Linked DNA regions of Alligator mississippiensis. The protein of the gene in region 3 interacts with the protein of the main gene of each other region in a pairwise test. Links are inferred from orthologs where the notes say so. Each region holds a gene or a part of one and is shown on either strand. Other genes may lie near its edges. The genes, in order: FA2H, SEC22A, ERLIN1 and AGR3.

Region 1 (6,890 bases), on a different chromosome or scaffold from region 3:
TCCGAATCAACGAATTGAATCTCTGTCCCTGATTCAGGTCACATCTGAATCAAATAGGGCCCGCTTCACACACCACTAATACCAACAGAGAAGGAACAGTAGACATTTGAACAAATTGTAAAGAACCATATTTGTCTTTCACCACAAAGAAATACTCCAAAAACAAAATTTCCCCACCATTGCAAATGGCACCTGGGACCTAATGCATGAGCAGCCTCCCCAAAAATGTGCACCCTCCCACACATACCCAACATACCACAGTAAGACTTTATTTTAATTATTATGCAATCATGTCTATGTCCACTACTCATGAAAACATAAATCCAGACAAAATATATGTATTTTTAAATAAAATTAAAATATGTTACAATATATGTTTGATTTTTAACTTATAATTTGTTCAAATGATAACTTCTGAAATACTAGCGAATTTCTCGTCAAGAATGGGGGGGGGCGGGGAGGGGGGCACTGCCACCGCCACCTCCCATGCAAGACCCTGGAAGAGGAGACTCAGCAACAGGGGCTGCCCTTGCCCCCTGAAGTACATACCAGGGGCTGGGACAGGACAGACAGTGGAAAGAGCAGGGCTCAGCAGGGTGATCGGCTGCCGCTGCTGCCCTTAAGTGGCACCAGCTACATGAGTGATTTCAACTTTCAGTCTCAAGGCCCCCTCCAGTTCTTTTCTAAATGTAGATCCCTCTCAGTGCTTTTCAACTGGGGTGTCTTAAAGTTCAGAAAAGTTATGGAAGGCTGCCTTGAGGTTGAGTACACAACAGAAGCTCAGCACACACAAACTGCTTTCAAAATGGCTGAAACGAGTTAAGATAAACCTGGATGGATGCAGTATCAAACTTAACTGATTTAGGTTAAATCAATGTATTGAACTTCTGTCCCAGATCCCCTCCAGATTCAAGTTAACTCTCAGTCCTCTCATATCCCAGGATGCTTTGCCCCTCAGCCCCCACCCTCCCTTGCAGGGTGGGCAGGCGGGCTAGCCTTGGCCCAAGCTGTCTGCTCCAGCCAAGCAAGGAGGTATGTTCTAGCACCCCCTGGCTTATGGCCTGGGCCACTGCAGGCATGTGGCTGGATTTGTGGAATCAAAGTGAATGTCTGTTCATTTGCTTATCCGTTCAATCTACACAGTTTAGACTAACCTGCAAAGATTAAATCAATTCAGCCTCAGGCTTTTTGATGGTCTGTACTTAGCCCACAAGTCTGGATGTACAGGCCACTTTAGATCAGTTTAAACTTCCTGGAACATTTCAAAAGCACCCCAGGAAAATCAAGTACTATTCTGAGCCAGTCCTTGGTGAACCAGTTCAGTGTTACGTGCAAACAGCATTCCACACGTAGTGTCCTGGTCAGTTTTCCAAGCATCCCAAAGTGCACCGCTCCTCATCCCCCAAACCTGTGGAGAGCAACAGGGCTGCTCTGGGATGCAATCAGGACTCTACTGGCCAAAGAGATCACAGTGGTGGGGAAGCAGAAAGTTTATGTCAGTTCCACTTTCCTGCAATCCCTTCAGAAGGTGGCTCTCCAGGAAAGAGGCTAGAAAAGCCAGAGTTCTGGGGGGAGGGGAGGGGCAAAGCACCCAGACCCCTGGGAAATATGAGCAGAGGGAGCTAAACAGGTCTCCAACACCTGGCAACCCCTCCACTCCAACCCCCTGCCTCAGCCTGGGTCTTCCTCCCTCCCTCCCTCCTGAGAGACTCCAGGCACTGGCCCCTGGAAGGCAGGATGGTCTGGGGATGCCACCACCCCCTGGTGCCACTCTGGCATCAGTGCAATGCCCAAGGTGAGGGTTGTACTTCCCACCCTTAACAGCCAGTGTGTGGAGACTTCTGTCCAGGGACAGTCATGAACTAGTTCCCAAAGCAGTGATATGATAGAAAGCAGAGCAAGTGCCATATGTGCCCATCCCCTTTGAGCACTTTCCACTCCCAGGCTCAACACAAGCCTGCAGTCTACTTCCCCCTCACAGGTTGCCACACCACTTTGTGTCATACACCACCTGCAGCAAACTGCAAAGCTGCTACTCGGGCTTTGTTCAAATCCCACCCCCCCAAACTTCCAGCAAGGTAACAGCAGCTGCACAGTGCCAGAGGCATCCAGGACACAAGTGGGGTGGGATGATTTCTTCTGCACGACACATTACTTGAGAACTGCTTCACTGAATTCTTCTGCCACCTCTAAGTCTCACCAGCTCCCACCTCCCCCTGGAAGAAAATTCTGGCTTTTCAGGCTAGATCAACTTCTTTTTCTTGCCCAATCCACAAGGACATCAATGTAAGGCTTTGCAGTGAGAACTCCGGAGAGGAGGGCGCTTCTGCATGGGCTCTGAAAGGGCAGTATTGATAGAGCAGGTTGGCAGTGCCAGGCAGCGACAGGAGCCTGCTGTTTGCTCTGGCATCACTTTCTATGCTGGGGCATCTACTGTGGTGCCCCCCTCCCGCCTCGGGAGGAGCCGGCCCCTTGCAGCTCTCCGGAGCCCCCGGGCCGGGGTGAAGCAAGCAGACGCTCTCCCCGCCCCGGCTGCACTAAGCCCCCTCCTCAACTGCCCCTCGCACCCCCGCTCTCCGCGCGGAAGGAAACCTTTAGCAGCGGGGCGCCGAGGGGGCTCGGAGCGGCCCCGGCCCCCCCGCAGCCCCCGGCCCGCCCGGGGGGTGTGGGGAGGAGGGAGGGAGGGAGGAGGCGCGGGGCGGTACCTGCGGGCCGGGCTCGGCTCGGAGTTCGCCCACGTAGTACTGCTCCAGCCAGCGCCGCGCGTTGTCCGAGTGCCGGTGCGGGGGCCCGTCCAGCGCCGCGCTCACGTCGCTGCCCGCCAGCTGCCGGAGCAGTTGCTGCCCGCCCGGGTGCAGGGGCACGAAGCCCGTCACGTCGTACAGCCGCCGGCCCCGCAGCACCAAGCACGAACCCTGCGCGCAGCGCTGCCGCAGCTCGGCCCGGCTGTAGGTGCGCGGCGACGGGGCCATGGCGGGGCAGGACACCGCGCTGCCCGGTGCCGACTGAGCCGCTCCCCGCCCGGCACCTGCTCCCCGGCGGCTGCGCCCGCCACGCCCCGGGCGGCGCGAGGGGCGGGGCGGGCCGGGCCGGGCCGCGGCTGCAGGTGCCTGCGGCGGCCGGGAGCGGCCCCAGGACGGGGCTACGCTGCTGCTGCTGAGCGGGAAGGGGGCGAGAGGCCCACCCGGCCCTCAGGGGCGCCTCAGCTCAACGCAGCGCAGACCCCGAAGCCGGAGTGCGTCTAGCTCAGGCCTCGCCTGCTGCAGGAGAAGCCCCAAACGGCCCATTCCAAAGGCAGCGGGTGCCCTTCGCTTCAGGGCAAACCCCGAGGACAGTTTTCCTCAGCTGGGCCCACAGTTGAAGGCAGGCAGCCTCAGCTTTCCTCAGGATCCAAACACAGGCCCCCCTCTCATGGACCAGCAAGAAACCGACACTTAGAAGGCCCTGCTTTGACAGTCCCACTTTGAGCAGGGGTTGGACTAGATCAGTGGTTCTCAAAACTTTTTTGTACCATGACCTATTCATAACATCGATGACCAGTCCCAACCCAGTGCCCTTCACTTGTGACCCACAGGCCTCAGCCCTTCTCAGCATGTGGGGTAGAGGGTGGGTATGGAGGCACAGGGGGCTGCAAGCAGCCCCTGCCAGCCTGGAACTGTGCTGGCTTGCAAGGGAAAAACCGTTTCCCATTTTCTCCTTCAAAGAAGAATCCATTTTTAAAGTTTCTTTGTGACCTTTTCATATATTGTTGCAACCCCACAGGACTAGATAACCTCCTGAGGTCCCTTCCAGCCCTAATTTGTGTGATTCTGAGATCTGCAGCTGGTGGCAGCAGACCTCTCTACACAACGCAAAGCCACACCTTCCCTCACAGCCTTTAAAGTTTTGTCAGAGGGAAGGTGAAACAGTAGCTTAGTACGTGACTGCTCAAGTGACTGACTCATGTTTATTGGATATGAATCTGCACATTTGCAAAGGCCACAAATTAGTCCCACACCCTCCCCAGGTGCCACGCCTCTCCCTTTGCCCCATTCTGCTTTCTGCTCCTTGTTCTGTCCTCCCTGACCAATCTGCAACTCCTTTCTCCTCTCTGCCCTACCTGCTACTGAACTGCCTGTCCCCTCTCTGATATGGTGCATGCCACACAGGCAGCCTGTGTCACTTGTGGCTCCCATACCACAGGTTGGCTGTCCCTATCCTAGAGGATATCCTGAAGGACAGATTGGTTTGTGGTACTTTATTGCTAATAGCAATAGCAATATTGTCATTAAGGGAGTAATATCATCCTACACTGGAACCAATAACAAGGATCCTCAAACAATGATAACCTGTACTTGAAGAGGTTTGGACATGGTGAGATATATTACCAAACCTCTGCTCCTGGCTTTCAAATAAGCTACACACCTGTTCCAGCTTGTCATCAGAAACAAACTCCCTGCTGGCCAGCAAACCCCAAGAAGTACATGCCACTATCATAAGAACAGAAGCAAAACCTATCAGCACATCTTCACTGCCATCACAATCAACACTCACCGGAATGAAACCATCAGAATCTATGAATCCTACATGTTTATCATAGCATGTGGTACACCTCATCTAGTGCACTAAATGGCCTCATAGAAACATTGTGGGTAAAACTAAACAACTGCTAAGCTCTAAAATGAGCAATCGCAGAAAAAAGATAAAGGATCACCAAAGAGTATAAGTAACCATGCTCAAAAGAACAAGCCTAATCACACAGCTGGACTAAACAGGACCTAGTATGCACATAAGTGGCACTAAGGCTAGCCACTAGAAATCTACAGTGCTGAATGAAATGGATCAGCTGTGCCATGATGTGTTGAGGCACAGCTGATTTGCTTCACTGGATGAAATGGACATCACCCCTTGCTCTGCCCTTGATGGTGCAGGACAAGGGCAATGTGGTCTCCAGAGGCAGTTTTGGCTGAGCAGGGAAAAGGCTCCCTTTCCCCACTCAGTCAGCCTCATCCCTTGTGATGACAGGAGCAAGTGTGGCTGTGTGGGGAAAAGCCCTGTTATTTTAACTCAGCCAGACCCATCTCCTTCAATCATGGGGAACAAGTCTGACTGAGCAGGATACAGGACTGGGTAAGTGCGGTGCCTTTCTGTAAGCAGGGAAAGTGGGCAGGTACTATGGGGACTTGAGGGGCCAGGGGATCTGGAGAGTGCGATCAGCTCAGGCTGCCCCTACTCTTCCACCACAGAGCTAATAAAGGTCTGCTGCAATCAAGCAGCAGGGCCTATTACTACTTTCTGTTACACCACTGTTTTCCCTTTGATGTGGTGTGACAAAAGATAATGACATCTATTTGCTCATAATTTGTGCTGCTATAAAGATTTTTATGGTGGCACAAATGAGACATTTGTTTCCACCCTAAGTGCTGCTAATGCATCTATAGTTAATCATGTAAGTAACACACAGGTGCTTTTAGGCACAACTGGTAGTTGGATGGTTTCACAGAGAATGCCTACAAAAGGGGTGGCACAAGAATTCCTGAGCCTGCCAAGTAGGTCTGTATTATTACAGGCAAGCCTGGATAATGACAAGTGATTATCACTTGAAAGAGGTGTGTCCACTTATTTACATTATTAAATAGTTAATTTAATAAATGTAACCATTTACATTTTAAAATAATGAAATTAATTTAATTTAATTTAAATCTAATTCTTAGTTTACAGCCTGTCTAAAGTTAACTGAAGGCAGGGTTGAAGGAATTAATAGAATTGTATGAAATTAAGCCATGTTGTATGAAGTGTGCTGCCCCACCCCGATCTTGCAAAAGATAAAAGGATGACCAGTGTATGATTCCCATGTTATCTCTACAGTTTTTTTCAAAAGACAGGTAAAAACATTTGCTATGTTCCAATTAGCACTTGGCTGTATTTAATGAAAGACTGTATATGTTTGTGAGGGACTTGGCAATTTCAGTCTTGAGAACTCTTTGGATGAAACTCATCCCTCAATTCAGTCACCTCAGTGTCTAAGAATAAATCTTCTAAAGGCTGCAAACAAATGTCACTTCTGTACTACCATAATAGCTGAAGTAGAATCTGGCCTTGAATGTTTCATTTGCATCACTCTTAACCAGTATAACAGGGTGGTCTGGCCCTTTAGGAAGGAACAATCAGCCCTGTTGAGGAATTCCAGCTCTGGGGCATTTGGATAGTGAGGGAGTATCCTGCTGGGAGTTTAAAACCCTAGGGGAGAGAGCAGAATGGGAGCAAACTGTGAGGAAATAGTTTGTAAGCCAGAGACAAGCTGTGAACAGAACAAGCGCATGATTTTTCATTACAGGATTCTATTATCAGTTATTCAAACTTTATCAAATTTTATCCATTAGATCTCAGATTTCCCATGCTACATGTCTTCTTTCAAGTGATTTCACATGTGTCTACACATGATCACCAGCGATGTCACTATAGCAGCACATTCCCCAGGTATACTGCGTCACTACAATGACATGGCAGCAAAATTTACCCATGTGCCGTGCACACAGCACAGTAGCCACACAACATGTATACGTGCCCCCAAAATCCTAGTTTTCAGGTGCTTGGTAGGCATCAGAATTTGGCACCTAAATACTCTGAAGATTTCCTCTGCACTGAGCATACAACAGTATCTTCCTATCTCCACACAGCTCCTCAGTACAGTCCCACCCCTTGTTAAGGCCATGGCTCCTCGCTCCTCTGCAATCCACTCACTCACTTGCAGGAGGAGAGTGCTGGAGTCACACAAGAGGCAATCTCCATCTTCTCCCTTCCTGTCCTTGATATCACAGTGTACCTGGTTGCTTCTTCTCTCTTTGCTTCCCTGCCTCCGCTATCCTTCTTCCCACTTCTTGAAAATGCTGCACACTGTGCAGCCCAAA
Region 2 (7,249 bases), on a different chromosome or scaffold from region 3:
TTTGTACAACAGGGGGAGGAGGGCTAGGGAGGGTTATGGCATGTGTGGAGGGGGAGGGAGAGTAGCTGAGGTGTGTGAGGGGGTATGGGGTGTGCATTTATGGCAGTGCGAAGCGGGTGTGGGTACATATGTATGGTGGGGTGCATGTGTGGGACTTGCCCTACAAACACAATCATGTACACTCTCACTCATTGCCTAGAGCCCCTGCCGGTGCCGGAAACCACATGGAAAGAAGCACCACAGCAGAAGGGAAACTGGGGAAATGGTGGTGGCAGGTGGGAGCGAGCAGGTGGGCAGACAGGAACAAGCTCAGTGACAGCTGGGTGGGAGTGCAGGGCCCACGCCGGTGCCCCAGGGCCAGGGCTGGTTGGGCCCAGAGCAGGGTGGTAGGAGTGTGGGATCCAGCCTAGCCGGGGCTCTGTGGAGCCAGACTGGCTCCCTCCTCTCCCTGCTGGCACAGCCTAGCCTGGTTCCATAGAGCCCCCACCAGCCCAGGCCCCACGCTCCTGCAGGCTTACTTTGGGCCCCTGATGGCCCTGGCCCTGGGGCACCAGCACTGGCCCTGCACTCCCATTCAGCTATTGCTGCGCTCATGCCCGTCCACCCATCTGCACATTGGGGTGTGTATTTTAAGCAGGGAAGATACTTCCTTCACTGGAAAAGCAGCAAGCCTGGAGCATGCCATGCAGCTGCCAAGATGGCAGAGTCCTTGTTAACTCTCCCAGAGCCACAGCCACTGGCTGAACACAGAAAACACAGAACCCGGTGCCTGAAGCAGCAACTGAGCTGGTGGCAGTATCTTGATGGGGGCTTGTAATGTGGAAACAACACTTTATTTTCAGGAACTTATATAAAGAACTACTTACTGTAAAGAACTAACAGTCTTGCTACTGCCCTTGCAAGGGTCTGGAGTCTAACCTTGTGTGACACTGAGCAAGTCCTGCTGGAAACATAGCAACTAGAAAGCCTGGCATCCCAGAAGAGAGTCTGGGTAAGGCAGCTGGCACCAAAAACTTCCTGGTGCCACATTTCCTGGATGCTACAATCCCAAGAGAACTTACTTAATGTCATAGAATTAGCCATGAGTATGGAAAAATCCTTTTTGTATGTTCTGCCTTTAAAAAACAAGGTATGCGCCTTATTTTGGAGAAGCAGGGTGTATGTGAGATAAGACAGTATTCTTAAATTGATTAATCACCTCTATACTGTAATTCTTAACTTGCTACAGCAGATACCACTAGGAAGCATTGCAAGGATAATGAGAGAAGAACCTTACTTTATGTTATACTGCCCCGTTTTCAGCGTACATCTGTCGGGAAGCTGAGCAAGTTTCCTTGAGAGCGCTTTAAAATATTTCCTACATTCCTGCACACCTGCACTCTGTTCACAATCTGTAGAGGCAGAGAGTGGGAGTCCATCCCTCACACGGACCACGGAGGCAGATAAGATCATAGACATCGCCAGCTGATTTAATAGAAACCTAAGAACAAAAACACACTCAAACTTATAAACACACTGGTTAAAATAAAAGCAATTTTTTCCAAAAAGGATCTGCAGCCAGATTAAACATCAGTCTATGATTAGAAGCAGTAACTGTGGCTTCAGGCTGCTGTAAATCTGGCTCAACCTTACCACACAGCACTGGGCAAGTCAGCACAGGACTGAAGCTTGAACACTAATTCACATAAAACATCCTACTGCATAGGCCCAACCATTTCCAAAGACACACACAGGATGCACAATCAGACTTCTGACTTATCTTAATAATATTATTTCGATCTTAACAGCTTGCAGAAGCTCCAAATGCAATTGCAGACCATTCTTTTATTTATCGTTTTGTATTACTGTAGCACTTAGAGGTACCAAGTGAAATCAAGGTTTTAGACATAACCACGCAAGGACATAATACAGCCTCACTAATCAAGAAGTCCTTGCCCTGAAGAACTTACACTATGAACAGAGGCAGCAGCAAAAAGAAGTTTTATTATCCACTTTTCAGAGAGGATGGTTACGCTGCCTCTCAGGACTTGCTGGTGGGCAGCCGCCTTACCTCCGTTTTGAATGGCAGTAGGTCCAGAGGAGGCTCAGTAAACCTCACCATGGCATTCCCCAGCTGGGCATGCAGGCAGCGTACATGTGCCCTGAAATCTGGGCCCTGCCTAGGTTAAATGTCAATATGTGCCTAACTTTAAACATATGCAGAGTTCCACTGAATTCAATACAGATTTTTAAAGCCAGGCAAAGGCTAAAAAGCCTCTGCTAAATGGAGAGCCACTTAACCTAATGAAGATCAAATAGAAAACTGGTGCACAGCCAAGAATACAACCCAGGGTCTCAAGTTGTAGTTAGTATCTTAAACACAGGACCTTTCCTCTCTACCTGGGCCTTAGGTTTTGGTATCTGTGAGATGAGTAGCAATATTAATCTAGCTTACACAATTGCCGAGTTGTTTACAATAAACTGTTTGTAAAAACACAAGAAAACCATACATGAGCTGTTATAAAGGACAAAAAAAGATACTAAATCTAATCTCAGAGATGAGGATAGCAATGAATAAAATAAGCCTGAACAAAAATTAGGCGGGCAAGGTTCTTTGGAGAGATGTGGTATCTTTTATTAGACCAACTGAGTAGTTGGAACAAGGTTCTTTGCAAGCTTCCAGGCACACGTACCCATCTTCAGGCATAGAGAGACTTCTGTTGTTCAAAAATTATTCTTTTTCAAACTATATAATACTGCTCTCAACTTTCTCTAGCAATTATATATGCTGTAGTGTGCTTGGCCTGCATGTATAAAACAAAAGCTTATTAAAATATTCATGACACCAAAGGAGAAAATTCACAGCAGACATTTTAAAACACACTCCCATGCAATCTTTATAAAAAATGACAAGATATATTTTTTAAATCTTCAAGCTGTTAAAAATGTAGCAAGACAAGTAGCATGTAGTACTCTAAAAGCAAAACTACTTGTTTGCTTAGAAACAAGGTAGAAACTTCTGTGAAAAGGAGGTAAAATTACTAGAATTTAATATAAATGAAAAAGCAGCATGCTTCCTTCCTCCTGTAATTCCAAACACCACAATATAAACTGCCCACCACACATACTATACATATTACCAGATAAAACGTCAAGAACAAAGAAATGTCTACCTCTGCCAGACTGTGCTGATGTAACCTAAGCAGGTCAAAGACAGAAAAAGAAAACCGATTTCTCAATACATCTGAAATACATATTCATAGTGTAAAATAACAGCAGCACATAAGGAAATGGCCACTTGTACATTTGGAGCCGTTTCAAGAGGGTAGCAACAGTTTCCCCTTTTGAAATGGCTCCAAATGTACGTGTCCTGGCTCTAGGTCAGAGCTGTCCAACTTCTAAGCACCCAGGGGCCATGTGTCCTGGGGACCTACACTTCCTATTACACCTTGTGATCCCCCCCCTCCTGCTGCAATGGTCACGTGCACTGGTACAATGCCCCCACACCCCAAGGCACAGCCCCAGACTCACCCTTAGCTCCTCATGCTGCACGTCATCCCATCCCCTGAAGTGCCAGAAGCTGAAGGAGGGATGGGGAACCTGGAGACTTCAACTGCTATTGCAGCCAGAGTGATGGGAAGAGCAGTGGCTGGGGACAGCCCAAGGGTCACACGGCAGTTGGACAACCCTGCCCTAGTTAACACCCTTTGGGCCAAGATTTTAGAAGTTCTTTACAACCTTTATGGAGCATTTCTAATTCGAAAGCAACTCTGAAAATGACCCTCACCTGCTCATACGTTCTCAAAACTGAACAACAAAAAAAAGATTATGTACAAAGTTAATTTTATTAAACGAGACTCATCCTAAGTGATTCACTTCATAAGCACAAAGACAGGTATAGTGTCCACAGTGAACATCTGTTTCTATTTTTAGTGTTGGAAGAGAAGGAAGGAATTTGATATTGTATTTCTTTAGTTCAGGGACTGGCAACCTAGGGGCCACAGAGCCCGTGGACATGGGACTTCAGCTGTAGGCCCTCTCCTGATGCCAATGCAGAGATAAGCTACAGGTACAGACGGATTCCTAGCACCCGTCCCCTCCGACTTAGGGTGGATTATTCCAGCCTACAGCTGAACAGGTTCCCACCCCTGCTGTAGTGATATTTCAGTCCCTTCTTATATACTCGACTCAACCTTTATACTGGGGAATCCATCGTGTTAACTACAAAGGTTCCCTATCACTACAGATTATTTCCCAGGAGTTGTCCCAGTGCCATTCTAATTTTATTGTTCATTCAGTCAAACCAGATTTCTACCAAGGTTGCAGCAGCAGAAGCCACTGCTGTTGCCACTAACTTTGTAAGTTAGTACCTCCGTAGAATCCCTTGCTGTGTAAAATGTGTGCCATGAACTGATTGGAATCAAACATAAAAATAGAAAAAAAAGTATGAAAAAAAGTCCTCTGAAATGTCTGGTGTAGACTTACCATAGCAACGGGCAATTATTTGGGCCTGCGGGCCACATAGGCAGTTTTGGGGAGCTGTTACAGGCCAGTCAGCAGCACCACCCCCTATCTCCTCTGCAACAGCTCAGAGCTTGTGTGCCCTACAGCTTCTCCCTGCCAACAGCACACAGCAGCAGCTGAGTGCACAGCTCCATTCCTGGCCTGCCCTGCATCTGGTCCAGACTTGCCCTGGCTGGAGCAGACCGGCTATGGAGCAACAAGAACCCACATGCATAACATCGACCCTGGCCTGTCCCGTGTCCTCTCCAGACTGGTCTATCCATTATGAGCAGTGGTGGCAGACACAGCAGATGCAAGGCAGCCCAGGGTCAGGGCTGTGTGCAGGTCCCAGCTGATCCGGAGCTGGTCCACTCCCATTAGGATGATTCCAGAGAGGACATGGGGCAAGCCAACGGTTGAACCCAGGTCCCCAGCAGTCCCCATGGGGCTGGGCTGGGGCTAGGGCCATCAGCAGCTAGAAGCTGCTGCCACATGAGCTGCTTAGAACTGGAGTCCAGCCGTGGAACCACCCCAGCCCCACTGCACACCTAGGAGGCAGGATGGCCCATGGGCCAGATGGCGCCTGGGCTAGCTAGGAGCAAGGGACCCTCCACAGGCCGAATAAAGTCCCTCCATGGGCTGGACCCACACCGACTTGAGTGATGTTGTACCTGTGATAGTGCAGGAATTATGTGATGAGTAAGGATTTCTTTTAGTGATATCTTTTGTTAGACCAGCTTCACAGTTGGGATAGCATTAGACAAGCTTTTGAAAGCAAGGCATTTTTCGTCAGGTCTGAAGAATGCCTTGAACTGAAAATCTTGCTTAACTCTTCCAGCTATGCAACTAGTCCAACAAAATATCACAGAAAGAAATCCTTGCCTCGGGTGTAGACTTAAACATTACTACAAATCTGCAAATATGAACAGAGAATTGAGTAGAGCTTATGGGAATAGAGTTGCTTCAATCCTAACCGGGACTATTGGGCACTACTTCAACACAATGTAATAACTGATAACAACAAAAATGCATCAGAACAAGATAGACTACAATTCTTTTCTCCTCCACTTACCTGCCCAAAACCCAAATTCATGAATCTGCATTGCCTCGGCGGTACTGAACAACTTCATTAGCACTTAATGGGATGAAAGGAACCCAGCTTCATGTTCCACTTTAGGAATATGTGGGTACATCAGTGCTATCCATTGCTGCAGAGAAACTCAGAATCCTAACACCAGTTCTTAAGTAAAATATTGTTTTCTTCACCATTAAAACGTTCTTCAGAGTTGAAGTTCACGTTATGCTGTGTGAGAAGGCAAAAACAAATGGAGCAATTTAAGAAGTAATAAGTGGGTATCAAAATTAAAAGTGCACATTTATCCATTCCCATAAACTCCAAGAATTAAACAGCAAGCAAGACAATTATTACACGGTGAGTCACGGATATACAAGTAAAAAGATAAACTGAGCAAAAGAACATTTAAAAAAAAAAAGATTCTATTACATTATGCAAGTTTCCAAAATGAAATCACTTTAGTCATTTATAATCAGGTGAAATAATACTACAAAATACAGACCTTTATTGGCAAAGAGATTGATAAATGATCAGCTGTAAATGGGTCTCTCTCTGATTTCTACCATTTATTTAATAAATGCAATATGACTGATCTCTAACCTTCTCTGGGCTAAAGGGATTAATAATAAATAATAATTAAAAAAAAAAAATCAAGAAAGTAGTATTGAATAATTCTGTATTTCCCTTTCCAAAACATTCCTACTGCCAGCATATTCAACCCTGAATCTAATTTTCTGTCAATATTTGTTTTTACTCTAAGGATTAAAAGTAAAGAATTCAAATAGCCAATATCAATAATACACATAGGCAGCAGAATTTAGCGTGGATAAAATCCCTCTTATAGATCTAAGTTGTCTATCTATTTTACATATTTATTTTATATATAAATAAAATATTCACATAAATCCTAGATAAACAGGATTCTGAACCCTTATTCATATCAAGGCAAATTAGTTCCTTTTTCAAAAGATAAGCCTTCCTAAAACCTACCAGCTGTCTTCCATGCATTGTGAAGTGACAAGAGAACAAAACTATGTTTAGACACATGGCCTCTTTTATATCATTAGTGAAATGTTCCCTATTAAACCATCCAAATGAAGACTTTTATTTTCTCAGCCTTTCAAAAATAGTGCCAGAGTGCTGCCTAATAATGCCATTTCCTTAAAAGAAACCACTGTGGTTGTAGATGCATGCAAATATGGGGAAATACCATATTTACTCAAATCTCAGATGATCCCCCCCTCCATTAGATTCTACGCATGGAAAAATTTATATATTTGCTATAATTTCCCATGTACAGAATCCAATTTTTTGAGGGTTATCTTTAATTCATTCCCCCCACTGTGACAGGGCACAGGCTGTGGGGAGGTCAAGTAACTTGCCCCCTATTTGTACCTGGCCCCGTCACCTCTGCCTTCAGGGGGTTGGACTAGATGACCTCTGGAAGGTCCTTCCAGCCTCACTTCTCTATGATTTCCATGAACTGGCCCTTCAGTGGACAAGCCCTGGTCATTTTGGTCCAGGAAGTGCTGGAAAGGCTAGTGTCCTCAGATGAGCAGAAGCCCACCCTTGCAGGAGATATCCTTGCCATCTCGGCCACATTCTGTAAAGCTAGGCAAAAGCTTAAATGGGTGAAGTGTCGCACATAAAATCTCATCTACAGATTAATTTTGAGTACTTTCTAATCAAAAT
Region 3 (7,398 bases):
GCCACTCACACCACTGCCAGGTCTGGATTCAACTCACGGGGAGCTCCACGGTCTGGATCCAGGCTGGGGGCCCTGATGACACGGGTACCGGCATAAGCAGTGCTTTTATCATTGAGATCCAGGGAATAGCAAATAGCTAGCATTTTATCCTTTATAAATGGCATTGTCTCTGTGACAGAATAGTTGCATTTCATGACAGTTGATATTAGAGGCCTGGGAGAGATCCAGTAGCTCCAGTATGGTTATGTGCTGGCACCCAAAGATAAGCTATCACCAGTGAACTATGAGCAACAGCCTTTTTGAGAGATCCATGCTGTTGGTGGTACAGGAAACAATACCTACTTTGAAGATGAGGTTGGGTGTCAAGTGTTGGTCTGTGAGTTTGTTGCATAATATGATAGACAAGGTTCTTTGGGTAAATGTGATATCTTTTATTAGACCAACTAAATAGTTGGAAAAATTGTTCTTTGCAAGCTTTTGGGCACCAACACCCTTCAGGCATAGGGAGAGTCTGCTGGTGTTGTGTGTTCTCCTGGATGGAATAGAAGCCAGCATGCAAAATGCAGGTGTGTGAACATGTGAATGTGTGGCACTGCGGATCAGGGGCCATGGGAGATGAAAAGTGTGAGACAGGCAAGTTGGGGTAGGGGAAGGGGAAATGTTGACCTGGTGATAGAACATAGCTGGTAAAACATAGAGGTTACCTGGGGTTATCAGATGTCAGGCAGGTTATAATGTGCCATAAATCCTATGTCTATATTTAGTCCATGATATTTTGTAAATTCCATTTGAGAGATCGGAGAGAGTGGTTGTCTTGTAAGAAGTGTGCACCCACAGGTAATCGGGTTTTTTTTGTCTTTGATAGATTTTTGATGTGCGTTCATTCTGGTATGTGGTTTGGTAAGCAGTTGTTGTTTGGTTCCTCATATATATTTTCCATCAGGACATTTGGTGCACTGGATGAGATGTATTGCATTTCTGGAAGTGCAGGTGTCAGATCCAGGAATGGTGATGGTTTTGTTGTGGGTTATATTAATTGTGGGGGTGGTAGAGATGTGTTAGCAGGTTTTACATTTCTTGTCATGGCATGGTCTGGATCCATTCGGTGTGTTATGGGCTGTAGGAAGTTTGCTTCTGGTGATGAGGTTGGTGAGGTTCGGTGCTTGTTTAAAGGCTAGGATGGGTGGTTCTGGGAAGATCTCTTTAAGAACTGACTTTTCCTCTCCTAGGGGTTCTGAGTGCTCTCTGAGTCCTGCAAGCCACCACTAGTGCGGTGCTTGGGGCTCATTGGGGAGCTGACCCACCTGCTCTCTCCCTCTCGGCTACTCTTCCCCTTTGGGAACCCTAGGAGACTTTGAACTCCTAGGGCCTAAACAGTCATCTTTATCAGCTGTGCTCAGTCCTTCCAGGCAGGCTTATAAGCACCCTGCCTTCCTGCAGCTGGCCATAGCTCCCCCCCACCCCCAGGTGTTCAGTTTGCTACAGTGTTTGTCACCAGGCACTGCACAGAAGAGGATTGGTGTCCTGCTCAATTAAACTTACTTGAGAAATATTATGAGGTTTTTAACGTAAAGGGTTTTTTTCAGGCTGGAAAGTGATCATAATCCATTTAGTGTGCTTTTTGCCTAGCATAAGGTATCTAACACACCAGCTTAACCATTGGATGTACTTTAGAAGGATAATTTTGGTTAATCTTCTCCTAGAAACAGACTCCAGAACAACCCTTGGTAACCTGTTTAAATGTTCAAATGATTGATTATCCTCCTAGTTAAGAATGTGCCTTATTTCCAGTTTTACTGACTTTTTTTTTTTTAAATCTTTCAGCGTTTGATTCTTGTTCTGCTTTTGTGTGCTAGGGTAAATAGCTATCTGCTATCAGATACCATCTCTCTTTGTAAATGACCATGTAATCTTCTCTTTGGTGAGATAAATAGATTGAGCTCCTTAAGAAGCAGGTTTTCTCAAATTGTTCTTATAGGTATGGACCCGTGAGAAACCTGTTGTGGGGACAGAAGGACTTTACAGTGCCTCAGCTTCTCTGTGAAAACTGTAGGCATGTCCTTACCTTGTAATGAATGGATGCTAAATTGCTGTAGGGATAAGATGCTCCAGTTCAGCTTTTCTTACAAGGAGGGCAGGGCAGACTCACAGGCAGCTACTGTGAAGCAGCTCTTTAGAGCCCTGGCCCCTTTACCTATGTATCTGTTCCTTGTGACTCTTCTCAACCCTCCTTCTAGAAATTTGTGCACCAGAACTGAACAGAGTATTCCAGGAATGATCTTGCCAGTGCTGCCTGTACAAGCTTTAACACCTATTTATTCCTGCTTCCAGTTTTCTTGTTCATATAGCCAGTGACTGTGTTCACCTGCTTAGCCTCCACTCTGTACTGTCAGCTCACGTTCAGTTAGTGTGACCACTATCGCCACCCCAGAGTGCCTGCTTTGCAGTCCCTCATGCTGTCCATGTGACCTACGTTCCCTGTTGTTAGATATGATTTTATTATTATATTTTCTAGTGCGTGACATAGTTTTAGATTTCCTTTTGAGTGGGAAATATGCCATGTTTTATACACCAAAGCTATATAAGAAAACAGATTGCTAGAATAACTAACAAAAGCTGACCAATATGCAGTCAAATTTATGTTAAACACCTTTCTGCTACAATTTTATCCTTTTTGGGGGCAGACTTCTTATGCACAGGTGCATTTTATACGTTGGGAAATAGTCCAGTATAAACGCACCTTTTTCTTTTAGGCAAAGTTCTTTGAGTAGATGTTTTTACTTCTATTAGACCAACTGAACAGTTGGAAAAAAGTTCTTGGCAAGCTTTTGAGCACAGTCACCCTTCTTCAGGCATAGGAAGTCTGTGCTGTTCTGAGACTCCAAGGAAAGGTTTTCTTGTTGTTGTTTTTTGTTTGTTTGTTTGTTTTTTATTATTCACTATTTTTTTTATTCACTATTTGTCATCTAGACAGTATCTTCTGTTGCCCAGTTCATCAGCAGTGATTTCTTCCTTCTGTTTATTCATTCCTTTCATCAGTGGTATAATGTTAGGAGAAGAATTGATCTCTATGGAACTTGAGCAGCAATGCATACCACCTCAGTATTTTTGCTGACTGGCATTCTTGCATAGTGGCCTCTGACTTCTTTTTCCATCCAGGAGAACACAGAACATTGCAGACCTCCTCAGCCTGAAGAAGGGTGTTTATACCCAAAAGCTTGCAAAGAAGAATTTTTCCAACTGTTTTAGTTGGTCTAATAAAAGGTATCGGATTTACCCAAAGAACCTTTTCTGCCTATATCCCTAGACCAACATGGCTACAGCCTATACCTACTCATTAAGTATTTCTTTTTGAGATACGTCAGTTAATCAGCTTTAAATCCATATAATGCTGCCATTGATTTTTATCTAGCACTAATTTTTTAAAATCAGAATTATCAGCAATACTAAGATGTCTTCAGAAATCAGTGCATTATGTTCACAGTTACTTTTATCAGTCAGACTTGTAAAATCACTAATGAGCTCTATATCAAGTTAAACTTAACAAGACTGGCATTGATCATATTTCCCTCCTTGTATTCTTTATTGCTAATCCCTGTTCAGCCATTCCAGGGCTTTGTCCATGGTTGAAGTCAAGATACCTTGGTTGTAATTCCCATTTTATCCCAATTTACCCGGAATAATTGACATGCAGTAGCTTTCTCACTGGCCTCTGAATCTTCTGCTGTATTCCAAGATTATTAAATGCCATTGTCAATGTTCTGTTACTGTAATGAGAGTGAGAGTGGCAGAAAAAGGAGGACAGGCAGGAGAGCGCTGAGTTGGCACTGGCTGGGTTGTTGCTGTGCATACCGCTGGTGTTACGTGGGTGACCAGCCGGTGTGTGGGTTCATAGGTGGGTTGATTTTTAAAAATAAAAATCACAGTTTTTGTAATGAGCTTAGGAAATCAAGACCAAACCTTGCAGAAAAGAAAGGTATGTGATTGGTGCCAGTTGCCTTTTTAAGATGGGTTAATTTCAGGTTGTCAAGGTAAATGGGAAGGAGCTCTTGGATAAGAACAGGGAATTAATCTTTCCTGATCATAAGTGGCAGTGTGAGCTGTGCAACAGCATGGACTGCCCTGCCTTTGAAATAGGAGTGCCATCATAATGGGACATGAAGGTGGGAGGCTGTGGTCCCCCTCTGTTTTCTGCTCAGAGATGAGAACAGCAGTTTCTCTATTGTTTGTCCTCAGCCCCATGCCGAAGAGAAAAAATAAAATAGATGTTTTGGCTGGATGGAGGGAGAAGCATCCCCAAAAACTTTCATTCCTCCTCTTGCCTATCATCAATGAATTGAGCAGAGAGGAAGCAGCAACAGATTAGCCCTCTTGCCCTTTGGAACTGTGTTTCCTCTGCTGGATGGGAAGGAAGTCTCCCAGTCAGTTTGTGACGGCAGCATGCCAGCTGCTCCTGAGTTGTAGATGTGGTAAGATACGACTTAGAGGATCTTTAGATAAGTCTTGCTAAAGAGGTTTGTGCTTTCCACTAGGGATTATTTTACAACTCGCTGTAAAGCAACAGTTCTCAAACTGGGCTAGACTCAGGTTGCTGGCTCCTTTTCTTTTGTTTTCCAACAAATCGCTTTAAATTAAGCTTAAAATATGTGTGCCACTCCTAATATTGTACTGTTGTACTATGTGAGCAGTGCTGTATCTGGAACAAGGTTGCCATATGTCTGTGAGTAGGCAGGATGATGGGCTGTGTGATCAAGAATGGGGAGACAATCTGTTTGTTTGGGTTGGGTCTAAACTATGAGAAGGTTTGGGAGCCTGTGCTCTTGAAAAGAATCCATAGGCAAGAAAAGATGGGGTATCCTGGTCATCAGGTGACCATAAAATTGATGAATGTGTATGGCAATGGCCCTCCGAGTGTTACAGTGACTGTGTTTTGTTCCCACAGATGATGTGAAAATGACCATGGCCCAGGCTGGAGCAGTAGTTGCAACTGCAACAGGAGTTCTGCTTTTTCTCCTCTGCGCCTCCATTCACAAAGTCGAGGAGGGTCACCTGGCTGTGTATTACAGGTACTGTTCCTAGTAAGCATGTCCAAGCCTCTTGCCAGTAAACAATGTTTTTCTGGGTTTAACCAGAAAATGCAGTACACTTCCTCAAAGGAAAGCTTTGGGTAGGTGATTGTCCAGGTCCATGTTCCATGTCTGGGCCCTGTTTCAGGATATTACCAATACATAAATGATAAAATTGGCCTAAAATCATAAGCTTTTTCTTTAAAAAAAAAAATTCTTGATTTCCACTGTCTCTTTTTTTTTTTTTTTTCTTTTTTGTATGACCTTTCCTACCCTAGCATGCAAAACAAGTGTAGGATTAAAGTACAACTTTAATTGTCTGTAGAGTATGCACACAAACATGGCCTTTGAACTCCTGCGTACTTACTCTGGAGTTCCTCACCAACAGTGTGTCCTGCAGTCTTGAGCACCTGGCCCTAAACCTCCCTTGCCCCCTTCCCACCCAAACTATTAGAAATACCTTTTTCCTAGTAGATCTGTGGATTATTCTTCTTATTTTCAGCTGCTAAGTGCCTGAAAATAAACACACTTTACTGTTCCATTTTTCCACATAAGCAGTTGCTCTGGTTACCATGGAGAAGTTATACAAATGTGGTTGAGGGAGTATTCTCCTGCCAGCAATCTCCAGAAGGTGTGTTTGTCTCCATGAAAATAATTTGGAGCCTCTGATCTAGTCAGCATTTAATGTAGTAAATCATAATAGTCTAACTGTTAAAGTCCCTTCCAGGCCAGCATGCAGAAGTGCAATTCCTACCACTGTGAAGTTTGCCACAGTGTTCACCCTGCAGGCTTGGATTCTCACCTGAATGAGAACAGAAGTCATATCTATGAACTGCATCTGCACCAGAGAAACAGAAAATGCAGTATCTGGGTTCTGCTGCCCTGGGAATCTTCCATTTACATTAAATAAATTATAGCAGTGATAATTGTTAAATGATCTGGGGTATTTTTCAGGTCACTCAGCACAGTGGTACATTCACCATTACTTCAGAGTTTTAAAGTCAGACTGGCTTACTTTAATTAACAAATAAATAATTAAATACAGAATTAAATAACTACAAGAAAAGTGTCTTGTTCTACTGCACATCTTTTACATGTCATGGTGTTCTCTTGTTCTCAAAAAGTCTGTGGCAAAGGTCTGCCCAAGTTGAACAACCAGGGCGTGCTAGTTTCTTTAGCCAGGGATGTATAATGGAGAGATGCAACTAGCATCCTGTCTAGCCATGTTTGACTGCCATCCTGAATGAGCAGGTATCCACTTTCAGGTGTGTCAGCTAAGGACAGCCTTTGGCATGAGTTTAGAGCAGGGATGGTATTTGCACCTTTGCACTTTAACTGCTCCACCATCACACCCTGACTCCCCTGTGTAGTAGGACTTAACTCCCTTAATTTTCTTGCGTACAGAATCCACCAAGGCAAATCAGCTGGCTTGCACTATGCAGGAGGTCAGACCAGAGTAGGTAACAGAGTAGGTAACTGTTTCTTCTGTCCTTAACATCTATGAAAGACCATCTTGGTCTTGATTCAGCTTTATCGCATGCTTTGCACAATGGACAAAATGCAGTTGCGTTGGAAAGGTTTATCAGACTGTTATTTTGCAGACCTCTAAAATGGGGAGGGTTACATCTGACTGCTGCCTAATGGCATGTGAAACTTATTGCAGGACTTACATCTGAGGGATTCTGCTGCAGGTTCTTGAAGTTTTCTGTGTTACAAACTTTCTCAGATGTTCTTAATTTTACTTAAATTAAACAATCATCTTGTCAAATTAGATGCATTGAAGCTTATTGAAGTTTCTTCCTTTGAAATGAGAACCATTTTTTCCAGTGGGGAATAAAACCTTTTTGCTGACTGCCCAACTCTCCCAGCTTTTAAAACTGGCTGTTCTACAAAGAAGCTTCTTTTAGTTCTAATAGTATAAGATGCCATCACCAGCTTCTGTGACCCTGAAGATTGCAATTCTCCGCTCTACTTCTGTTGTGTCAGCCCTTGCACACCTTCATCTTGTGTTATACTGGAGTCAATGTCAGTCTCTCACTTAGTTAACTTTATCTGTGGCCTGAATGTTTTGGTGCATACATTTTCTCATCTGAAAGAAGCTGCTATTCTTCAGTGTGTTCTAGGACCTTGTTCCTGGCTATGGGCAAGAGACTAACCATTAGATTTGCACAGAAGAGGCACTTAGGCAGACATTTGAAGGAGGGTTGGTATTTGAAAGTAATGCACACATCTATCACCAGCTGGATGCATCTTTTAGTAAGCAAGATCTGCTCCACCAAGGGCTAGTTTCCTGTGAAGACCTGGCACAGCTTGCTCTGTATGCCCAGGTGTT
Region 4 (7,041 bases), on a different chromosome or scaffold from region 3:
ATTTTCTTTATATCGGTGCCGATCCAATATCAGACTGATGCATCAGAGCACCTCTACTACTTACCACCTGTAATTAATTTATTCCTATGCCTTTTGTTTTCAGAGCAGTGTATCTACAGCACGTGTATAATTACAGACAATGTATAGTTAGCTGTTTGTTTTACATCAAAATAAATAATCTGGGGAAAGGAGGGAAGAGGGGTGCAAAATGCCTCCCCTTCCTTATTACACTAAATGTAACCATCCAGCTCTTGTAGTTAAAAGGCCAAGTTTAAACACAGCATAGAAGAAGTGCATTTTTAGTGCAAGTACTGGTATTGGGCACACAATGGCTACTGCACTTAAACTGCTCTGTGATCCAACTGTCAGCCAGGTCAGCTGACAAGCTGTGGCAGAAGTCTGCCTCTGCTTCTGTGAGTCCCATTTTCCAGGTCAACCTGACCTCAAGGCTATATACATGCAAAAGTAGACAGGTTAGACAGCTTCAGTCAAGTCTTTCTAACGAACAGTGAATGGATTTAGAAACATGAGGTGTCTACCATGATTCTATACAATGTTTAAGTCAATTTCTCCCATTATGAAGTCCCTTCCCTAGGACAGCAGTGTCTTTTTAGCACATTGCCTTATGCATGACTGTACCTTTTAACATTTCCATGAAAAAATGGATTTGGTACAGATGGCCAAAATTGGCCTTGTCGGTGTCCTTCTTGCAGCCTATGGGGAATGGGGAGAACTTTGTCTCAGAAGCAGGAAGAAAACTGGTCATGTTTCCTATGGCTCCCCTTGTCCTCAGGCTTTGGTGGGTGCTCTCCTATCCAGGCAGTATTAGCAGATGGTTTCAAAGTTGGTAGGGTCAGAAGGGACCTGAGCAGATCATCAAGTCCAACCCCCTGCCGTGGCAGGAAAGAGTACTGGGGTCAAATTACCCCCACCAGGTGTTCATCCAGCCTCCTTTTAAAGACCCCCAGGGTCGGAGCCAGCACCACTTCTCTTGGAAGTTGGTTCCAGATCCTAGCTACCCTCACAGTGAAGTAGCGCCTCCTGATATCTAGCCTGAATCTACCCTCTGCCAGCTTGTGACCGTTATTTCTTGTCACTCCTCGTAGTGCTTGGGGGAACAGGGACTCTCCCAATGCCTGCTGGTCCCCCCTAACTAGTTTGTAAACAGCCACCAAGTCCCCCCTCTGCCTTCTCTTGCAGAGGCTGAACAGGTTCAGGTCCCTTAGCCTCTCCTCGTAGGGCCTGCCCTGCTGACCCCTAATCATGTGGGTGGCCCTCCTCTGAACCCTCTCCATGTTGTCCATGTCCCTCCTGAAGTGCAGTGCCCAGAACTGGACTCAGTACTCCAACTGCAGCCTGACCAGTGTTGCATTGTACTGAATGGTACTAGCAGAAGCTAGTTCCAAACTGGGGTATAATGCAGAAGGGACATCCCCTTTATGGGAGCTGGGAGTAGGGACAATATTTGTGCTTTGCTCTTACCGATCATGATGTCTCTCACTGCTGGTCATCAGGGATTCATGTTTTCTATTTCCCACAGGAAAAAATGTGGATTTTCTCTTTTAAGGCTAATTACAGATAGTCAAAAAGTCCAAGGCTGAATCAAATCAGCCTTTTCAGGTTAGTCTAAGCTGCAAAGATTAAACTGAGAAACAACTGGTGCACATTTACTTCTTATTCAGGAAATACAACAACATGTCTGAAGTGGCTCCAGTCAGAAGCTAGGGAGAGCTAGAGCATGCCTGTAGCCAGTATAGATGGTGGGTTTGCTTCCTCTTTCTGCTGCCCCCTAGGTCTCTGGGATTTGCAGTCCAGAATCACATCAGCAGGACTCTCCAGGGTTGCCAATCACTTCTTCTTCTTGTTTCCAGGTACCTCTGGGATTTGTTGTCCAGTCACAGCCAGCAGTAAGTTTCAGTAAGCTTATCAGCAGGGTAGTTCTGTACCCTCCCTGGCCCTGGTTTGCCTGAGGAGGAGGGCAGTCCCTGCTTCCTTACCCCTTCCCCTGCCCCCCAAAAACCCTTCTCTGGTAGAGCAGAAAGTATAGTCCAGCACAGGGCTGGAAAGTGTGCTGGGATGCTGTGGGACTGATTTAACTTGAACCAAGAATGGGTCTGGGACAGAAGTTTCATAAACCAGTTTGACCCATAGTTAAGTATGATACTACATTCAATTAGGTTTATCTTATACCAGTTTCAGCTATTTTTAAATTGGTTTATGTGAAGTGAGCTTCTGTTCTGTTACTAATTTAAACCAGTTTATGATCACTTAAACCGGTTTATGTGCAACTTCTGTCCCTAGCCTAAAAAGCTGCTCAGTGCCACAGAGTGGGGGGAGGGATAGCTGCAGCCGGACCTGTGTCCTGGTGATGAAAGGGGGGGAAGGGAAGCTCTCATTTTCCATAACAAAAACCCCCAAAATCAAATGCCCAAATAGATAGGTATTTAGAATTTATTTTATTGTAAGGATGGAGCCACTGGTAGGCTTCCAAGTTACTTCAAAACTGTAAATATATAAAGTACTGTGTTCATCTGATACCTCATATATATCCCCTCAGCAGGTCAGATAGCTGGTAGGAGAAGCAGAGAGGTTCAAGGTTCAAGTGACTGCAACTTGGCAGGTATCGAGGGCAGGGAGTAATTCCACAGGTGAGTCTGGTTTTCTAATAAGTTAGTTCTGGTAATGGGCTTAAAAGAAGGCTCCCACAGAAACTAAGAAAAGTGAGTTGACATTTCTCTCTGAGAAGAATAATCATAGAAAACAAGTACAAAGTGAGAATTGTCCTCCACCCTGCCCAGCAAACCATAATGGAAGGAACACCTCTCATATTTTGAAACCATTTAACACCAAAACATCCTCCAACTAAATGATCCCATTCATGTATCTGTTGAGAAACCTGAGAGAGTACAGTGGAGAGAGAACCCTCTTTCATCTGTATCCCACAATCTTTATAGGAGAAAATGATATCTAATTCATTCTCATAAGAGGAGATGGGGAACCAGCACTGGGCTGCAACAAATGGGAAGAAGGAAAAAAAACAGCAACTCTTCACATAAGTAGGAATAATCAAAGGAAAAATCATGGTCTCCACTGTACAATTCATTATTGCATCATGATCCCAGATGAGTTAATAAAAGTTGTGGCCTAATTAATTCATATACCTTGCATCTTGTTCTTTTCTTTGCATGGCTCTGGTAAGTCCCTTCAGGATCTTTTGAGAGCATAGAGTTTTCATGATGTGTTATAGCTTGAGGCTTAAAAAAAAAAAGAAAGGATTTGTACAAGTGCAAGTTCCATTTCCAGGTCTACCAAGAATGTTTGTGCCTTTGGGCAAGTTGTGTACCTTCCCTAGGCACCTGTTTCTTAATCTTAAAAAAGAAGATAGCTGTACTTACTTCACAGAGGTACTGAGATTCTGAATTCATTAATTTTTAAATAATGCTTCAAGACCATAGATCATATACTGCTTTTGAAATGAAAATATTATTATAAATGAACAGTGTTCCCAATTTCAGTTGTGCCTGCACATGAAACTGGACCAAATCCTTGGGAAGAAGATAAGAAAAAGCCAAAGGTGAGGAAGCTTGGCTAGTATTTCCATACTCTTGACTAATGCATCCTTCTGTAGGGTATATGAAAATAGTTTGTACTTATTAGGAGTACACAAGAAATAGGTATGACTGGACACATCTACACATGCCCAGTTACTGCGGTTACTGCACAGTAACCAAAAGTTACTGTGAAGTATGAGTACATGTCTACATGTGCACACCTGTACTGCACAGTAACTGCGGTGACTTATGCCAAGTTGGGTATAAATTTGCTACCTGTAGCAAATTTATGCCCACTTAATTACTGCACAGTAAGGCATGTGTAGATGCTTTACTACACAGTAACACTGTGTGTGCTCCGACTTGGGAGTAAACTTTACTCCCAGGTCAAAGCACACACAGCATTACTGCACAGTACATGCAGATGCTGGTCTAAAAGCCACTTATTGTGCAGTAACTTACTGCAAAGTTACTGTGCAGTAAATGCACATATAGACACACCCACTGCGTAGGCTTGTCAGGAAGGGGAACAGAAGATATCTGGATGGATGCCCAGTGAGTTAAGAGGCCTTGCATTTAACCCATCTTCAATTTTAACATCCCACCTGCCTATACAACACAATGCAAAGAACCAGCAAGGTAGGTATCATGTTTCAGGCATTTGCTGCAACACTTGATGTGTGAAAACATGGGAGGTAAGAAAAACTGAGTCTTTGTATGATTTTGTGTTTACAATTCCTACATCAAGGATAACTGGCTGAACATTGATGGCTGCTTTTGTGGTAGTGGTTATTTACACTAACAGGTAAATAAGCACAAAAAAGTAAATGGTTGATTTCAATTTTCTAACCAACACAACTTTTCTCTGTGGTCCATCTACCAAGGGATGGAAAATATTTTACATTTAAATTCAAGCAAATTTGAAATGCACAGGTTTACTCACTTCATTATAAATATTAAAGCTGCCTTTTGCACTGAAAATATGATGAACATTTTCACAATGTTTCAGTGAAAAATAGTCTTTGCACTGAAATAGTAAATACAGAGAATGAGTACTGGACGAGGCCAACTAACAAAGCAAACGTTTTATTGTTATCAGATTTTATTTTTCAGTTGAGCTTGATTGCATGGGGAAATCATCATGTGATAGCTGTAATCTCTTAATGAGTTTTGGTATCTATAGGCTACAAACAGCAGTGAGCCAAGCAGCAAAGTTAAGAGCTGGATGCAAAACTTCAAATGACGGAAAAGAGAAGGAAAAAAATCAGTTTAAATGAATGCATTAAAGATCTCAACAGAATAAAATAACTCCTTACAGAGAAAGAAGCCAGTGGTAAGGACTGCTTCTGATGCATCTTGTTGTCTATGCAAAAGCTGTAACAAAGGACAAGAATGACCAAAGCAATGTGTTTTGTGTTCAAGGACAGTGAAGTACTTTTCATGTGTTGCCAAACTGGATTAGAATTATGAGCATGTAAAGATACAGGAACTTTTTAGATATTTCAATTTAAAGAAACAGTCAGCAGGTATTTTACACAATGTTCTTTAAAACAGTGCCTTATTTTCCTAAATTAAAAAAAAAATGTTGCTTTCATTCGTTAATTACATTCCTGCACACAAAGTAACTCTTGTATCTTTCTATTAGCTTTATACCTAATCTCCAAGCACCAGTGAACTCAGACATTCATCAGGAACAATAGCACACACAGTTCCAACTTTCATTGGTGGTTTCTTTTTTCACTGGGACATAAGCCAAACTCAAACTATTTGGGGGGAAAAGTAACAGACACACACAAACCACTATTTACTTTGAGGCCTAATACAAAGACACCTGATACAAGCCAAGATGGAGAGAAATCTGAGTATTCAGTGTACAAGCCTAAGAACCCACAAGAGTAAAATGTTGGAGGGGGGAAAGAAGGGGAAGAAATAAAAACCATGAGCTTGGTCTCTGACTAACTGGTTCCTGTCATTTTTGCAGGTGAATGTTCTCTTGTTAATACACACACAACTGGGCAGGTCAGGTATTCTTGTATAAATCACACCCACTTTTAACTAGACACTTCCAGAAGGAGGAACTTTCATCAAGAGAACTGATCTACTAAAAGGTGAGCAAAAGTTTTTAGTGTTTAAAAAGTTTGCTAACAAAGTACTTTGAGTGTAGTGATGGGGAAGGAGAGAGGAGAAAAAAAAAAAGTGTCTGGAGAATAACTGAAAAAATGACTCTAAGGGAGTGTCATGTGGAGAGGTAGCTAATTTCAACAGTATTTGCCATCATGCACTGTTTAACCCAGCTTATTGGTACTGGTTGTCATAATATCCAAAATTCCCAAAACTGTATACACTTAAACTGCATCCAGCAATAACACTGCCAGTGATCTCTCCCCACAAAAAAACCTTCATAGGTTTTCTTTATGATGATAAAGGTTAAGTGCAAGGGGAATATTTCTATAGTCCTTGAAATAAAAAAATTCTGAAACTGGAAAGAATCTTACTGATTTTGAAAAGTTCCTCATTTATCTTGGAGGAAATTGGAAATGTGTACATTTCAGAAGTCAAATTTAAGAATGTTTCCCAAAGTCATAGACATTAATGTTTCTACAGGTGCTCATAAAAGGTCAAACAAATGTAAGTGGTAGGTTTAATTCCAGAGCCTTATAGAGAATTTGAGGTGGATTTCCCATTCCCAAAAATGTTTCAGCCTCTGAATTAAAGCAGTGTTTCTAGTCCCTCTTTATGAAATGGAAGGCCTCACATTACTCCACACACAACATCAGTGCATTTTGGTAAATTAAGGAGCACCACTAATGAGTATCAAAAGGGGTTCTTGTCCAGACCTAGGTTGAGGCAAAAACAGCTTTTGCATCCAACTCTGAGGAGGAGGTATGTTAAACAAAGGGGATACCCAAGCCCCTTCAAAAAAAATAAAGGACCAGGTGTGGAGGGAAGGGGGAAAATACTCTGGTGGCTTAATTGATTATTTTAGAGGCCAGGGAAATGTCTTTAGTTACACGATATCTCTAGGAGAGAGAATATCTTTCAAGGAATGCTGCTTAGTTTTAAGGACTAATCATTCTTATCTTCACTTGGAATAATATCTGTTTCCTGTATTGATATTGTAAGGTATATATAATAACCTTTGATGAAAATTATCTGGCAGAACTGGAGTTGGCTGCAGTAATATTTGTGGTGCCGGAGACGGCTTATGGACAGCTGTTGTAAAAGCCCTAAAAGTACTCATAATTGATGATCTGGAAGGGTGATAAGTTATTCCTCTACTGGTGTTCAGTCATGGCCTGCTGTGACAAAATTCCAAGACCGCTGTAGCCACTATGTTCCTATTTGGGGGTGTCGCAGGGCACCTCGGTGCTCCTGCTCCTAGAGAGGAGAAACTGCCAGGGAGAGAGCCCTGGCAGGACACTAATGAGCACAGCTGCGGGTTGCCGGGGCAACTAAGGAGAGTCAGCTGGCCAGAAGGGGGCAGGGCCTG

The links.
Region 1: the proteins of ERLIN1 (region 3) and FA2H interact in binary tests that used the Homo sapiens proteins (3 or more experiments, as listed by UniProt). The two-hybrid records come from large-scale screens. The link is inferred for Alligator mississippiensis from reciprocal best matches to the Homo sapiens genes ERLIN1 and FA2H.
Region 2: the proteins of ERLIN1 (region 3) and SEC22A interact in binary tests that used the Homo sapiens proteins (3 or more experiments, as listed by UniProt). The two-hybrid records come from large-scale screens. The link is inferred for Alligator mississippiensis from reciprocal best matches to the Homo sapiens genes ERLIN1 and SEC22A.
Region 4: the proteins of ERLIN1 (region 3) and AGR3 interact in binary tests that used the Homo sapiens proteins (3 or more experiments, as listed by UniProt). The two-hybrid records come from large-scale screens. The link is inferred for Alligator mississippiensis from reciprocal best matches to the Homo sapiens genes ERLIN1 and AGR3.

The regions. Positions count from the first base shown.
Region 1 is NC_081833.1:40,865,670-40,872,559, forward strand, and holds the start of FA2H (fatty acid 2-hydroxylase), read right to left. Parts: upstream 3,014-6,890; 5' UTR 2,973-3,013; coding exon 2,706-2,972; intron 1-2,705. UniProt on the Homo sapiens protein: Catalyzes the hydroxylation of free fatty acids at the C-2 position to produce 2-hydroxy fatty acids, which are building blocks of sphingolipids and glycosphingolipids common in neural tissue and epidermis.
Region 2 is NC_081827.1:246,128,420-246,135,668, forward strand, and holds the start of SEC22A (vesicle-trafficking protein SEC22a), read right to left. Parts: upstream 3,015-7,249; 5' UTR 2,687-3,014; coding exon 2,673-2,686; intron 1,481-2,672; coding exon 1,277-1,480; intron 1-1,276. UniProt on the Homo sapiens protein: May be involved in vesicle transport between the ER and the Golgi complex.
Region 3 is NC_081829.1:10,006,659-10,014,056, reverse strand, and holds the start of ERLIN1 (erlin-1), read left to right. Parts: upstream 1-4,387; 5' UTR 4,388-4,402; coding exon 4,403-4,469; intron 4,470-4,942; coding exon 4,943-5,066; intron 5,067-7,398. UniProt on the Homo sapiens protein: Component of the ERLIN1/ERLIN2 complex which mediates the endoplasmic reticulum-associated degradation (ERAD) of inositol 1,4,5-trisphosphate receptors (IP3Rs).
Region 4 is NC_081828.1:163,640,593-163,647,633, forward strand, and holds the start of AGR3 (anterior gradient protein 3), read left to right. Parts: upstream 1-4,023; 5' UTR 4,024-4,190; intron 4,191-4,734; 5' UTR 4,735-4,884; intron 4,885-5,532; 5' UTR 5,533-5,659; intron 5,660-7,041. UniProt on the Homo sapiens protein: Required for calcium-mediated regulation of ciliary beat frequency and mucociliary clearance in the airway. Might be involved in the regulation of intracellular calcium in tracheal epithelial cells.